2 linked regions of the Cricetulus griseus genome follow. The protein of the gene in region 2 purifies or fractionates together with the protein of the main gene of each other region. This does not show direct contact. Links are inferred from orthologs where the notes say so. Each region holds a gene or a part of one and is shown on either strand. Other genes may lie near its edges.

Region 1 (6,169 bases), on a different chromosome or scaffold from region 2:
TGGCTCCTTGTCACAAGGCATCTGACCTTTTAGTGACTAAGGTTCCTTGTCACGAGACAGGCATCTGACCTCTAATTGACCAAGGCAGGTTTATGGCAAGCACGTGTTCGGCTGTTATGGCTGCCAAAAGGGAAGCCGGTTCCTTCAGCTGATGGAAGCAGAGACAGACATCCACAGATATACACTGAGCTGAAATCGGGAATTTAGTTGAAGAGAGGGAGGAATGAAGAAGGAAGGGGTCTGTACCAGGTTGGAGAAACCCACAGGAACAATTGGCCTGAACAAGGGAGAGCACATCGACCCCAGATGCTGTCGGGGAGGCCAGTACAAGACTGATCCAGACCCCTGAACATGGATGTCAATAAGGAGGCCTCTGCACTCCAGGGAGCCTCTGGTGGTGGATTAGTATTTTTCCCTGGTGCAAGAAGGGACTTTGAGAGCCCATCCCACGTGAAGGGTTACACTCTGGCCCTGGACACATGGGGAAGGGCCCAGGACCAGCACAGGAAGATTTGGTGGACTTTGCAGAGCCCCTGTTGAGGGCCCTACCCTGCCTGGGGAGTGGTGGGTGGATGGGGTGGGGGTAGGCTGGGGGTGGGGGAGGAGGGATGGGGTGAGGGGAGGGAGAGGGAGAAGGGACTTACATGTGAAACAAGCTTGTTCCCTAACTAGAACTAATAAATAAATAAATAAATTAAAAAAAAACAAAACTAAAACCAAAACAAACAAATGGAAAGAAACGCACTTTTTTTTTAAGTCACCAAATGCAAACACTAACACACTAACACTGCTGACGCTTCTCCACCCTCCCCCTTCTGGCACTTAGCCTCAAGGCAGTCTTTGAACAAGTACCCCTGCCGACAGCATTCATTACTACTATTGGCATTCCTTTGCGTGAAATATACATGGATTTCCCTGCCACACTTCCGCCCTCCTTTCCTCTCATCCTTCAGCCACCATGCTTACACTGCCTTCTCGGCACGACCACAGCCAGGACGCCCCTTCTTTCCTCCCTAGCCTTCTTCCGCACAGCTGCACCCCCCAGGAGTCCTTTCAGTTTGGTCCCGCCCCGGGCATTCTCCTACCTGGTAAACACCTGTCTCCGCCTGCAGTTTCCCGCCCTTCACTCGACTACCGCTAGGTTCCTCAGAGCTGTCTCACCTTCACCCCGAGCAAAACGTCCGTGCTCCCCAGCCCCTTGGCCCAAATCCCGGGAAAGCCGCTCGGAAAGCACTAGGTCCCGCCGCGGCACCGGCGCCCGCCGCGCAGCCGCAATGACAATTTATCTGTAATTCCCGCGCTCCCGGTCGCCTAGGAAACCGGCCGCTTGGCGGCTAGCGCCGGCCTCTAGGAACACAAGATCCAGACACGTCAGCGGAAGGGAGAGGAAAAAAAAGAGGTGGACACTCTTTCCGGGCTCAGGATTGGCCACCTGGTCTCTCCTTGTGTGTCGTAACTAGAAAGAGACGGAAGAGAAAGAATTTTGAGTTTCCTATTAGGCAGCCGCCCCCTCGCATCTACGCTTGCTTATTACGTCACAGTAATTGTGTACAAAGGGTCGGGATCGCTACCCAAGGCCGGAAGATGAGCGCAAGGTAGTGAACAAAGCAGTTGCAGAGTCCTCATCCCTCCCTTAGTCTTCCTGCCATGGAAGTCTCCAGTTTAGGTAAAGAAAGGATTATGTAAAAAGAACTACCAATTCCAGCATGCATTGCGGGACGAAAGGACTTCTCCACCGCGTCCCTTGGAAACTGTAGTCTTAAGGGAGAGGCGCTTCCAACACCGGAAGCTGGCGCGATTACCACAACAACCTAGTTAGTACGGCGGAAACCTCCTCGCGGTTATGCAGGTCAGCTGCAGTACATCGCAGCGTTCTGTTTTCATGTCTTGCTCACAGAGACTAGACTGAAAGAAGCTGCAAGTCCCAGGAATACTACAATTCCCATCCAGCCCCGCGATTCTCGGGTAACTAGTTCTCCAAGGTCAGTGACCTCAGGGAAAGCAGAGGGCGGCCAATGGGCTCGGGAACGGGAAATCCGCTCCGCTGACATCTACGCACTAGTTCCGCCCCTCGGCCTGGGTGTTTGTTATTGTTGTGCGGTTCAGACAGCTTCTGTCCCGCCCCTGCCGACGCAGCATTGGCCAATCGGTGCAGCGGTGGTTTTGAGGGACAAATAGTTAGAACCAATCGTTTTGTCGGAAACTCAGAGAAACATGGGACTGGGCCCGGTCTCTGTCCGCCATGTTAGATTCACCCCGCAGGGATAGCAGCCGAGCTGGCAGCGAACGGTCCTTGCACTGGCCACGGGCAAGCGCCCCCCGGGGGCGGAAAGCTGGTAAGGAGGCCGCCGCTGTTACCTACGAGTGGGGTCACGTCGTTCTTAGAGGTCTCGGGGAAGTTCAAGGAGAATCTTGAAAAGAGCAGTGACTTTTTTCCGTGTTCAGGGCAGCCAGTCCTTTCAGGGACCAGATGAGAGAGCCGCTTGGGTTGTCAGCGACAGTGGGGTGTGGATTCTGCTTGAGGGAGAGTCTTCATGGCTTAGAAAGGCCAGTTTCTGCTAAGAGAAAGTCGAAATCCCCCAGTACCAAAAGAGGGGCCTCCGGTGGTGGTGACACTCACTGTCCCGGGGACATGGAGTTCCAGGAAACGATTGCTGGAAGACTAGGACTAAGTGTGTGAGAAGAAGGGACACACATCTTCCTCATTCTGAGCTTTCCTCTTTTTGAGACTCTATTGAAGGTATCTTGATCTAGAACCTTCCGTGTTTAGAGAGGCATCGTTTTCCCTTTTTGTCAAGCACCCAGCTTTCAGATCACCCATTTTAAAGCTTAGGCGGCTTTAAACCTCTGGTAGACACAATAGAGTTCAGATTCCGAGATTCCCTATATTAATATTATTTGTCGACGTTGGAAAAACATCCTATGGGGAAAAGCTGACTTTGTCACATGAGTGTGAGTCAATGAGGCATGCGTTTACAGTGCCACTTAGGAAAGCTGCAGGCTTAGGCCCGGCCACCTGACCGCTGGCTGCAAAACAATAGGTAATATGTGGGGTTAACTGTACCTTTGATATTTTCACAAGTTCAACATTAATGTTCTGCCTGAAAGAATTTTCACACGTAAGTCACAGTGAGGTCCGGCCTTTATGAAGACCTGAATATTGGCTAGATAAACTAGACTCTCGCTTCCTGTTTTCTCACATTGACAGAGCAGCTGGATGAACTCCAAAGTATGGAAACTAATTCCCACTCCTGTCATTTGAGAACAGGGAAGATTAGTTTCCTTCCAGACAGAACTGTGTGGAAGTGTATTTCTTGAAGTTGGAAAGTGCGAGTGTATTTGGGAATTTTTTCTTTTTTAATTATCTTTATTTTGTGTGCATTGGTGTTTGGAACTGGAGTCACAGTTATGAGAAGCCATGTGGATGCTAGGAATTGAACCCGGGTCCTCTGGAAGAGCAGTCAGCGTTCTTAACCACTGAGTCATCTCTCCAGCCCAACCTCAGAATTTTTTCTTTTGGCAAACTCAGTCACTTCATTTTCCTTATTAAAAACAAACAAAAACAAACAAACAAACAAACAAACAAAAACCTAGGGTTGGTGGGATTCTGCCTAAATTTTAAAGATCCTAAGGAAGAATTGCATTTTGGGTAAATGTATGAATGCAGGATGTCCACAGGATTGATGCTAGAGACTATAGCTTTGACAGTGAACTTAACTCTAGATGAAGACAAGTCATGGAAAAAATTGGATAATTGAGTCTCTAAAATAATCTGTGATTAAGAATACTAGGTTCTTGGGTGGCAGTGACACATGCCTTTAATCCCAGCACTTGGGAGTCAGAGGCAGGCAGATCTGTGAGTTTGAGGCCAGCCTGGTGTACAAGAGCTAGTTCCAAGACAGTCTCCAAAGCCACAGAGAAACCCTGTCTTGAAAAACCAAAAAAAAAAAAAAAAAAAAAAGTACAAGGTTCTTAAAATGACAGTTGTACAGTTGTATCCACAGTGCTGAACTCTGGAGGCAGATGCGGACAATTCTCTGGTCTACATACATAGCAATCCCCAGGCCAGCATGGGCTACAGAGTGAAACCCTGTCTCTCTCCACCCAAAACAAAGTTATAATAGCAAGGTAGAAGCTATCTTAAGGACCTAAGGAATTGTTTCTTATGGTAATAATTTTCATATTTGAATACTATTTGAAAGAATCCTACATACTTTGTGGTACTGGAAATGGCCCCTTATCTTTGCACATATGTGGACTGGTTCCTTACTCCCTGTCCCTAGACCAAGGTTTTATTAGATCCCTTTGATAACATTGTTACTGTCAGCAGAATAGTCTTTGTTTTACATATTAAATGAGTGAAGCTCAAAGATAAACAGTCTTGCTCACAGTTGCACAGCCAATCTTGTGGTGGAGCTGTATCTGGGACCCAAGTGTTTGCACCCTATTGGCTCCCTTCTTTGACATTGGAAACATCTAGGACTCAAGTTCATTTCTTGTTTGTTGACCCGAATATGGCTCTTTCTACATGCAGATTGAAAATGAGATGAATATTTTAAGAGGTGACATTTTTTTGCCAGTGTCTATTGCTTGTAGCTTTAAACAACTTACACTATTTTTTTCCTAAAGTCACAGTTAACCAGTAAGCAAAGTCTTTCCTTAAATCAAATAGGTTGTTTTTTTTGGGGTGGGGGTGTTTCAAGACAGGGTTTCTCTGTGTAACAGCCTTGGCTGTCCTGGAACTGGCATTGTACACCAGGCTGGCTTCGAACTCACAGAGATCATGCCTGCCTCTGCCTCCCAAGCACTGGTATTACAGATGTGTGCCACCACTGCCCGGCTAAAATCAAATGGATTTTAACAATAGGCATTTGATTAAAAAATTGCCAGCATCTTAGGCATGATCATGATGGGTTTTTTCATTTTTCTCATTTTATAAGTATTTATGGAAGAAAGGGTGAATATTTTGTCAAGAGAGACATAGAGCAAGGTTGTTGCATGGTGGTAGAGTACCTTCCTAGCTTCCAAGCCCCTTTGTCATCTGCTCAACACACACACACACACACACACACACTCTCTCTCTCTCTCCCTCTCTCCCTCTCTCTCTTACACTAGAAAGGAAGGAATACTGACTAACAAAATTAGCTCCTAGTTGCTAATTGTGGAAGCTGATAGGTCCATGAGGACTCCTTGTGTTACATTCTTTAATTTTGTATAGCTTTTTCCACAAGTAATAGAAGTTTGTTGTTGTTGTTGTTTGGGGTTTGGGTTTTGGGGGGCATTGGTGTTTTTGTTTGTTTGCTTGCTTGTTTTCTGTAGACAAGTGCTCATTGTAGCCCAGACTGTTCTTGAACTGACTACCTAAAACTGCTTCTGTTGCTGCTCCCAGAGTGCAGACACCTTGTCTCTGTTCTCTATCTTGTTGGCTTGTGCTACAGATAACAACCAAACACTGGAAAATGCAGAGAAAACCTTATAGACTTAAGGTAGGGGAGTGTCTGTAGATATGTCCAAAATGTGGATTGTTTGTTTTCAAGACAGGGTTTCTCTGTGGCTTTAGAGTCTGTTCTGGAACTAGCTCTTGTAGACTAGGCTGGCCTTGAACTCACACAGATCTGCCTGCCTCTGCCTCCCGAGTGCTGAGATTAAAGGCATGCGCCATCAACACCCAGCACAAATGTGGATTTTTATTACATTTTTATCATGAGACTTTTATCTTCCCTCCCTGCTCTACACCTCTTTTAAAGACAGGGTTTCCTTGTTTTCTAGACTGGCCTAGACTCTTGGACTCCAACTACCATCCTGCTTCAACTTCTTGAGTAACTGAGACTACAGGTGTGTGACAATGTGCATTTTTTTTCTTTCTTTCTTTCCTTTTTTTTTTTTAATCTTATTTTATGTGCATTGGTGCTTTGCCATGAGTGTAGGGTCCCCTAGTAGAATTACAAACAGTTGTGAGCTGCCATGCGGGTGCTGGAAATTGAACCCAAGTCCTTTGGAAGAGCATTCTTAACCATTGAGCTCTTAACCACTGAGCCATCTCTCCAGCCCTTGACTTTTATTTCTAATGTGTAAGTTCTAAATAAGTTTAACTCTGTAGCATAAGCACACATCTTTATGGCATAGTGTCTTTATTTCTGAGAAAGAGAAATCCTTATGTAACAGTGAG
Region 2 (7,434 bases):
TTGTGGGCCTGTGCTCCAGCAGCCTGCCTACATACCTTGACATAGATGATAGGGATAATCAGCTTGGCCTTGGTAAAGTGCCGGGCCACCCGGTACACCGTCTCGGGCACATACTCCAGCACCAGGTTTAAATACAGCTCATCTTTCTGGAGGGCAAAGGGGAGAAGAGACCTTGTAAGCTAAGAGGGAAGGTGTGCAGAGACCAGTGAGGAGCAGAAGGACCTCGTGGGAAAGAGGGCGGGAAGATGGATAGCATCCGAGTGTGGCTACACCCCTACCCCTCAGATTCCAGCATCTCACCTTCTCGCCACTGGAGTAGAAAAAGTACCGCAGCCTCACGATATTGCAGTGGTCCAGCTTACGCATAATCTGCAGCTCTCGGTTCTGCAGGGCAAAAGGAGTCTCAATACACACAATCCCGCCTCCCCCGCCCAGCACCGTCACCTCACCCTCCATCTATCTCTGCTAAGAAAGCAGGCAGCTGTCCCTTGTGCCCCAAACTCAAGGCTGCAAGGCCTGGGGCAGGGAGAAGAAAATTAGTTCTTCACTTCAACCTCTGGCCCCTTCCCCTCACACACAAGCTACAGCCTATGGGCCAGTTAGTCCTGGGCCACCAGTGTGTTTACTTCAAGCTGCTTTTTAGAAGTTCTCTAACTACTGCTGACATGTAAAGGTCAGTTAGTTTCTTCATAAAGCCCACCCTCCGCATCTCTTGAAGAATTTACTGAAGCTAGGCCTGGTGCTGGTCTAAGATCTCAGCAATTTGGAAGGCTAAGGCAGGAGGACCTCAAATTCAAGGACAGTCAGAGCACCATGGGGCAGCTCTGTGTCAAAATACAAAGAAGGATGCTAGGGATCTAGCTAGCTCAGTGGTAGAGCGCTCGCACAGCACACACAACTTCTGGGTTCCATCCCACATACTACAAAACTAAAGAAATCAGACCACGGAAACGTCACACCAGACACAGGCAAAAGCAGCAGCAGCAGAGAGCAGTGGCTGTCTGCTTCTCCCTGACCCCCGTCCCCCTCCACCACCTTCCCTGGACGTGCTGGGGACTCACAACTCAACACGCCACCTTCCCTGGAAGTGCTGGGGACTCACAACTCAACACGCCACCTTCCCTGGAAGTGCTGGGGACTCACAACTCAGCACCTTCCAACCTCACCTTCCCCTCCGTGCCTGGGCCTCTTCCCACTGTCTGGTCCCACCCAGGGCATCAGAACCCTTCTCAGATCCGCCCCAGCTCTGCAGTTCAGCTCCACCAAGGTCTGACTGACACCCCAGAGCTGCTCCTGTCCAAGAGCCCTCACTGCCCAGCCCCGCTTACCCGTCGGGTCTGGTACAGTCCTCCGTGCACCCCCCTCCTCTCTCCTGCTACTTAGTTCCCCAGGCCTCTGCAGCTCACAGAGCACCCTATCCTCTGGAGGCAGCCCTGCCCTGCACAAGGCAAGGGGCTCAAATGAGCACCGTCAGGGCTCGATTACATTGAGCACTGGCTGACGCCTGGGGAAGAGCACGTCCTTCAGAGCCACCATCATCATCAGCCTTATCTGACCTTTTCTTCTGGAAGAGATGTGACCAAGTGGTTGAGGAGAGGGACTTCCGAGTCTACAGGCCAGAGCCTTCCCCCGAAGGGGCCCTTACCATGCAGCCTCATTTCTGCTGACATAGAGCAGGAATAGCAGCAGGTCCTGCCCTCAGAGATGCTTCAGGTCAATTAAATTAGAACTTGCCTGTCAAGCACTTAACACCAAGGAAATGCCCAGTAAACATTAGCTCTCAGCTCTTCTGAAATTTACATTTCCCCCAGTTCACTTCACCGGAATTCCCTCTCTCCTGAGGCCCATGCTCAGGTCCCGCTGAAATCCTGGGCTCAGGCTGGTGAGACACATCAGTCCATAGAAGTGCTTGCCATGCAAGACCGATGACCTGGGTTCAATCCCCAGATTCCAGGGTGGTAGGAGAACCAACTCCCAACAGTTGCCTGGCCTCCGTATATGCATCATGGCACACACATACATCATACACATGCACACATTAATAAATAATAGTAAGAACATTAAATTCCAGATACTAGTCCTATTGCTGGACACAAACAGCAGTCACTCCCAGTCCCCAAACCGCCAGTCCACTCAAGGTACCTTGAACCTTTTGTCCTGAAGAACCTTCTTGATGGCCACTAGTTCCCTTGTCTCTGCCAGCCGTGCCTGGTACACGACTCCAAATGAGCCATTGCCAATCACTTTGATGTCAGTGTAAGCCACCTCTTGGGAACGCTCTGGGCCTTGGCCTAGAGTGGCTACCACTGTGGTCACCTTCCCGCTGTCACCTAAGGAACAAAGGGAATACAATCTACTGACCTTTCCCAGGGAGGGAAAGCTGTTCAAAAAACTCACTGTGGGTGAAGGGACAGTGATTACTTGGTGACAGAGTACTGTCTGGCACACACCTTGAGTTCAATACCTGAGGACAGGGAGGGGAGCTTAGCTACTCCAGTAACCCGGAGCCTCCCTCCAAGGAACCCTACATTCTGCTTCCCATATTGGAGGGCACGGACATGCAAACTTATTTCCATTAATGTGTAAGTACCCACTTTCTCCTTTTAGCAAACAACAGCAAGTCACTTGGTGGTGGGGGACCATCAACACCCTCGGTGCATAACCCAGCCGCACCGGGCTCCCCGGCCTTTGGCCCCTTCTGCAGGGCCACCACAAGGTACCATCTTCCACTCAAAGGAGCAGAAACTATGAGGTGTTCGTTCTTCCAGAAAACTCTGGCCATTCTCACAGTCTGAGGGCACTAACTTCTAAATCCTCCCTGGCAGATCAAGGACCATTGCCACTGCTCCTGAGTGACGGAAATGAACGGGGCTAACTGACAGTGCCCTGACCCTCACTTGTTGCTAGGGGTGGGGGTTGCTGTTGCTCTTACCTAACACTGCACTGATTGGGATGTGTGGGATATTCTTAGTGCCATTCCCAGTCACCTTCCGAAAACTTATCAACAAATTCCAGTTGGGAGGGGGCAGTGTATGACATTTTGAAAAATAATCCTACATTGCTTTTTTTTTTTTTTTTTTTTTCCCCAGAGCCAAAGACGGCCACTTCAAACCCGTATTTTATAGTAGGTGTGACCCAGGCCACCCCATTCTATTTTTTGGCTAACCAGCCCCGCCCCCCCCCCCATTTTTTTCTTTTTAAAAAGAACACTGTTTGATTTGAAGCTCATTGCTATTCCCAATCTGCTGTCATTTACAAACAGCAATGATAACTCGCTGTCAGCATTGGGGACACAAGTCTACACATTTTCGATGGGTAAGGTGGTCATGTCAGGCCTTATATTTCAAGCCTGGCCCTGCTCTGTGGGAACATCAGTAATCCTAAGTCTGCACTTCTAAAAGAGACATTCCATCCAAATCCCCATTTCTGATGGAAAGGAAACCAGTGCCCCCCCCCCGCCCCCTTTTCCGTATAGGACGGTGGCAGTGATCTTTTTTATTCTTGTCTCTTAGGGGACAATGATCCTAGATCACCACTGGCAAGTAACTATGACCTCTGATCCTGTTCCCTAGTGCATGGCAGCGTCGTCAAGTACCCGGGACCTTGATACTGGATACTGGAAGAATGGGGCCTGTGACCTCTGCTTCTCGGATGCTGGTAATTCTGATTCTAAACTCCAAGGGATGGGAGCCCCCCAACTCCTTTATCCGGGAGCCCCGAGAGCCCAGATCCCGGTGTGAAACAGCACGGTGAACCTCAAGCTGCTTCTTTCTATCTGGGTCCCGGGGAAAAGAGAAAAAAAAAATAGAAAATAAAAATAAAAAATAATAATAAAAAAAAAATACCAAAGAAAGCCTGGCCGCCGCCGTTTGCCGGGCTTGGGGGACCCCGATCGCCGCCGCCACCGCCGCCACCACCACCCCACGGGGCGCCCCTAAGTACTCACGGCCCAGCTTCACTCCGGGCGGCGGGAAGCTAGTGCCCGCGCCGGCGCCAGCGCTGCCGCCTCCGCCGCTGCCGCTGGGGCCACCCCCGGAGCCCGAGGCGCCCACGCCCCCACCCATAGCCCCGACTGACGCCTTCCCGCCGCCACTGCCTCCCGGGCCGGAGGCCGAGCCCCCGGGGCCGCCTCCACCGCCTCCGCCTCCGCCGCCTGGCTCCGCGAACGAGCTGGTCCGCGCCCGGCCCGAGCTCCCAGGGCCGCCTCCCGAAGGCCCGCCGCCACTCATGGCGCCGAGCGCAGGCCCAGGGCCGCGGGCTCGGGCTGCCTGGGCTGCCCCTGCCGCCGCCGCCTCTGCCGCCGCCTCCCCTGGGCTCCGGCCTCTTCCAGGCCGCGCCGTTCGGGCTCCGGCTCCGGCCCAGCGCCCGCCGCGGGGCACGCCGGGAGATGAAGTCCCTCTGCCGTCGGCTTCGTTGTCGCCACCCTCGGACTCGCACAGCACGCCGGGAAATGGAGTTCTCAAGACCTCAGAGTAGCTGACGGGGGGGGAGGGGGGCGGGGAGGGGGGACAGAGGGAAAAGGGGTGGGGGGGAAATACGGTTCGCGCTGCACGTCGGGAAGTAGAGTCCTGGATAATGTCACCCGACCCTGACCAAAGGCAACTCTAAAATACTTCGGAAGCCACATTCAGGGCAAGACGCTCATTACACAGATGCAACAGCAAGCCCCAGAGGCTATCAGAAATGAAATCCTAGCCCCTCCATCCCGGAGCGGCCTCCAACCCTGAAGCATTCTGGGAAATGGAGTCCAGTCACCCATCCACTCCCATGGGCTGGTCGGTGACTTCCTGTGCCGGGTGCCTTCTGGGAGATTGAGTCCGCACTCGTGCACCCTCGGTTCTTGATCTGTGAAGCACACTGGGAAATGGAGTCGTCACCACGCCCTCACCGCATTGCAGGTGTAGAGCGTTTTGTAAAGCACGCTAGGAAAAGACTCAGGTGGTCCTCAAACCCCAAGTAGATACTGTAACTGGAAGAGGTAGGATAGGAAATGGAGCGGGCATCGCGCTCTCTCTGTCCAGTTAGCTGCGCCGCAGTTCCTTCCGGGAAATGTAGTCGACACCAAGAGTTAAGCGCGGTGCTTCAGCCAGCCTGGTGTCTTCTGGGAAATGAAGTTCAAGACAGCCTCATCTTTGAGGAAGGGGATGGGAGCGACCAGCAGCCAGAGGCATGCTGGGAAGAGTCCACAGTGGAATCTGACTCTTTGTGAAGCTAGGTGCAGGGCTTCTTGGGAAACGTAGTCCAAAGGGAGTGCTGTGGCTGGCAGTGGAGGTGAAAGGTTAAGGACGAGAGTTCCCGGGGGGAAACTATTAGGAGTTACAATGTCTCCTCCCTGGTCCTCAGCCCATCAGCCACTGCTGGGAAAAGGAGCCAGTCCCTCGAGGGCCACAGATTGGGAAGAGAAACACGTTTCCTCCCTGAATCCTCCAAGGGTTTCACGAACAGTCCCGGCCCGACCGACCGACCGACCGCGGGTCCCAACGCTTGTTTTCGGGGACTCTCTCTCTGTCTCCCTCTGTCTCTCTGTCTCTCTCCCTCTCTCTCCCTCTCCTCTCTCTCTCTGTCTCTCTCTCCCTCTCCTCTCTCTCTGTCTCTCCCCCTCTTCTTTCTCTGTCTCTCTCCCTCTCTCTGTCTCTCTCCCCCTCTCTCTCCCCCTCTCTCTCCCTCTCTCTCTCTCCGTCTCTTCCTCTCTCTGTCACTCCCTCTCTCTCTCCCTCCCTCTCCCTCCCCCTCTCTCTCTCTCCCTCTCTCTCCCTGTCTCTCTCTCTCTCCCTCTCTCTGACAACGTGGTTACAGCCAAGAGGACGAGCTGCACGACTAAAAAATAATAATAATAATAATAAATGAGACAACTTATGTCCTGAACTCGTATCCCAAACGATACTGGGAATCCCTCTCTCTCTCCTCCTCCCCCCTCTCTCTGTCTCCTCCTCCTCCCTCTCTCTGTCTCTCTCTCTTCTCTGTCTCTCTCCCTCTCCTCTCTCTCTCTCTGTCTCTGTCTCCGTCTCTCTCTCTCCTTCAGACTACGTTATCCAGAAGGCAAAGCGCAGGTCCTTCCGCCCACTTTGCAAAGCTTCACGCTCGCTCGCTCGACTGGAGAGGGCGGTTCCGGTGCAGCACAGCCAAACGGACGGCTGCCGCCCTCTGACGGCTGCTCGGAGTTGAAAAGTAAAATTTAAGTCAAGCCCCAAGGCATAGGAGGACCAAGAAGTCTCACGTGTGTCTGTGTGTGTCTGTCTGTGTGTGTGTTTGGTGTGTGTGTCTGTGTGTGTCTGTGTGTGTGTGTCTGTCTGTGTGTGTGTTTGGTGTGTGTGTCTGTGTGTGTGTGTGTGGTGTGAGTGGTGTGTGTGTTTGGTGTGTGTGTCTGTGTGTCTGTGTGTGTCTGTGTGTGTGTGTCTGTCTGTCTCTGTGTGTGTCTGTGTGTGTTGTCTGTGTGTCTGTGTTTGGTGTGTGAATGGTGTGGTGTGAGTGGTGTGTGGTGTGTGTGTGTGTGTGTGTGTGTGTGTGTGTGTGTGTGTGTGTGTGTGTGTGTGTGTGTGGTGTGTGTGTGTGTTGTGTGTGTGTGTGTGTGTGTGTGTGTGTGTGTCAGCACAGAACCCATTACTTAACCGCCGGAGCCGGTATGACCTGAGCAGACGGCCGGTCTTTGCATTAATCTCCGTGGGGCACTTGGAGGGCGAATGTCAGAGAAGAGCTGTAAAATGTCTCCAAGTGTCTAAGGGGGTCCTAGAGATGTCTGCATGAAAGAAGTCTTTGATAAGCCACAGGCATCGGAAAGCCATTGTTTGGGGCATGATGGAGAAAGCTCAAGAGATACCTGTGAGAGAATGAGACATTAAGACGGTTTCCAAGCAGCCTGACTAGGTGAAGCACGACACTGAAGAGACTTTGGAGGGGTTGTGTAGGGACTTGGGAGGAGGGCTGTCCTTACAAATGGGATTTGGTTTTGGCATGGATTAATCTGTAAAATGCCCTCAAGGATCTTCTGGTTGGAAGCAAAAAATCTCAGGACCAAGGTCAGGTGTCTTTTGTTTCTGTTTCTTTTGAAAACAGGACCTGATAACTCCAGCTTGCTTGCTCAAGTTCACGACGAAGCTGAAGATGTCTTTTCTAACCTGCCTGTTCCATGCTGGGATTACAGGTGGGTGCCACCACGACAGGTTTTGGATGCTGGGAATTGAACCCAAGGGTCTTCTTGTACATGCTAAACAAGCAAGCACTCTACCAACGAGCCCCATCCCCAGCACCCCCCCTTCTCTTTTGAAATAGGGTCTTCGAAGGCCCAGCACTCGGGAGGCAGAGGCAGGTGCATCTCTGTGAGTCTGAGGCTCACATCGTCTACAGAACGAGTTCCAGGACAGCCAAGACCACACAGAGAAACCCTGTCTCAGGAAACAAAAGGGATAACGGGGGGGGGGGGATGCTGCTGTTTTT

Evidence for each region.
Region 1: the proteins of Gsk3a (region 2) and Nbr1 purify together in Homo sapiens (affinity purification with western blotting; 3 studies listed by BioGRID and IntAct, with this or other methods). This does not show direct contact. The link is inferred for Cricetulus griseus from reciprocal best matches to the Homo sapiens genes GSK3A and NBR1.

What each region holds. Positions count from the first base shown.
Region 1 is NC_048600.1:114,592,170-114,598,338, forward strand, and holds the start of Nbr1 (next to BRCA1 gene 1 protein), read left to right. Parts: upstream 1-1,578; 5' UTR 1,579-1,982; intron 1,983-2,184; exon of another isoform or gene 2,185-2,336; intron 2,337-5,769; 5' UTR 5,770-5,835; intron 5,836-6,169. UniProt on the Homo sapiens protein: Ubiquitin-binding autophagy adapter that participates in different processes including host defense or intracellular homeostasis.
Region 2 is NC_048602.1:9,985,198-9,992,631, forward strand, and holds the start of Gsk3a (glycogen synthase kinase-3 alpha), read right to left. Parts: upstream 4,340-7,434; 5' UTR 4,230-4,339; coding exon 3,947-4,229; intron 3,776-3,946; coding exon 3,596-3,775; intron 2,331-3,595; coding exon 2,143-2,330; intron 385-2,142; coding exon 301-384; intron 147-300; coding exon 36-146; intron 1-35. UniProt on the Homo sapiens protein: Constitutively active protein kinase that acts as a negative regulator in the hormonal control of glucose homeostasis, Wnt signaling and regulation of transcription factors and microtubules, by phosphorylating and inactivating glycogen synthase (GYS1 or GYS2), CTNNB1/beta-catenin, APC and AXIN1.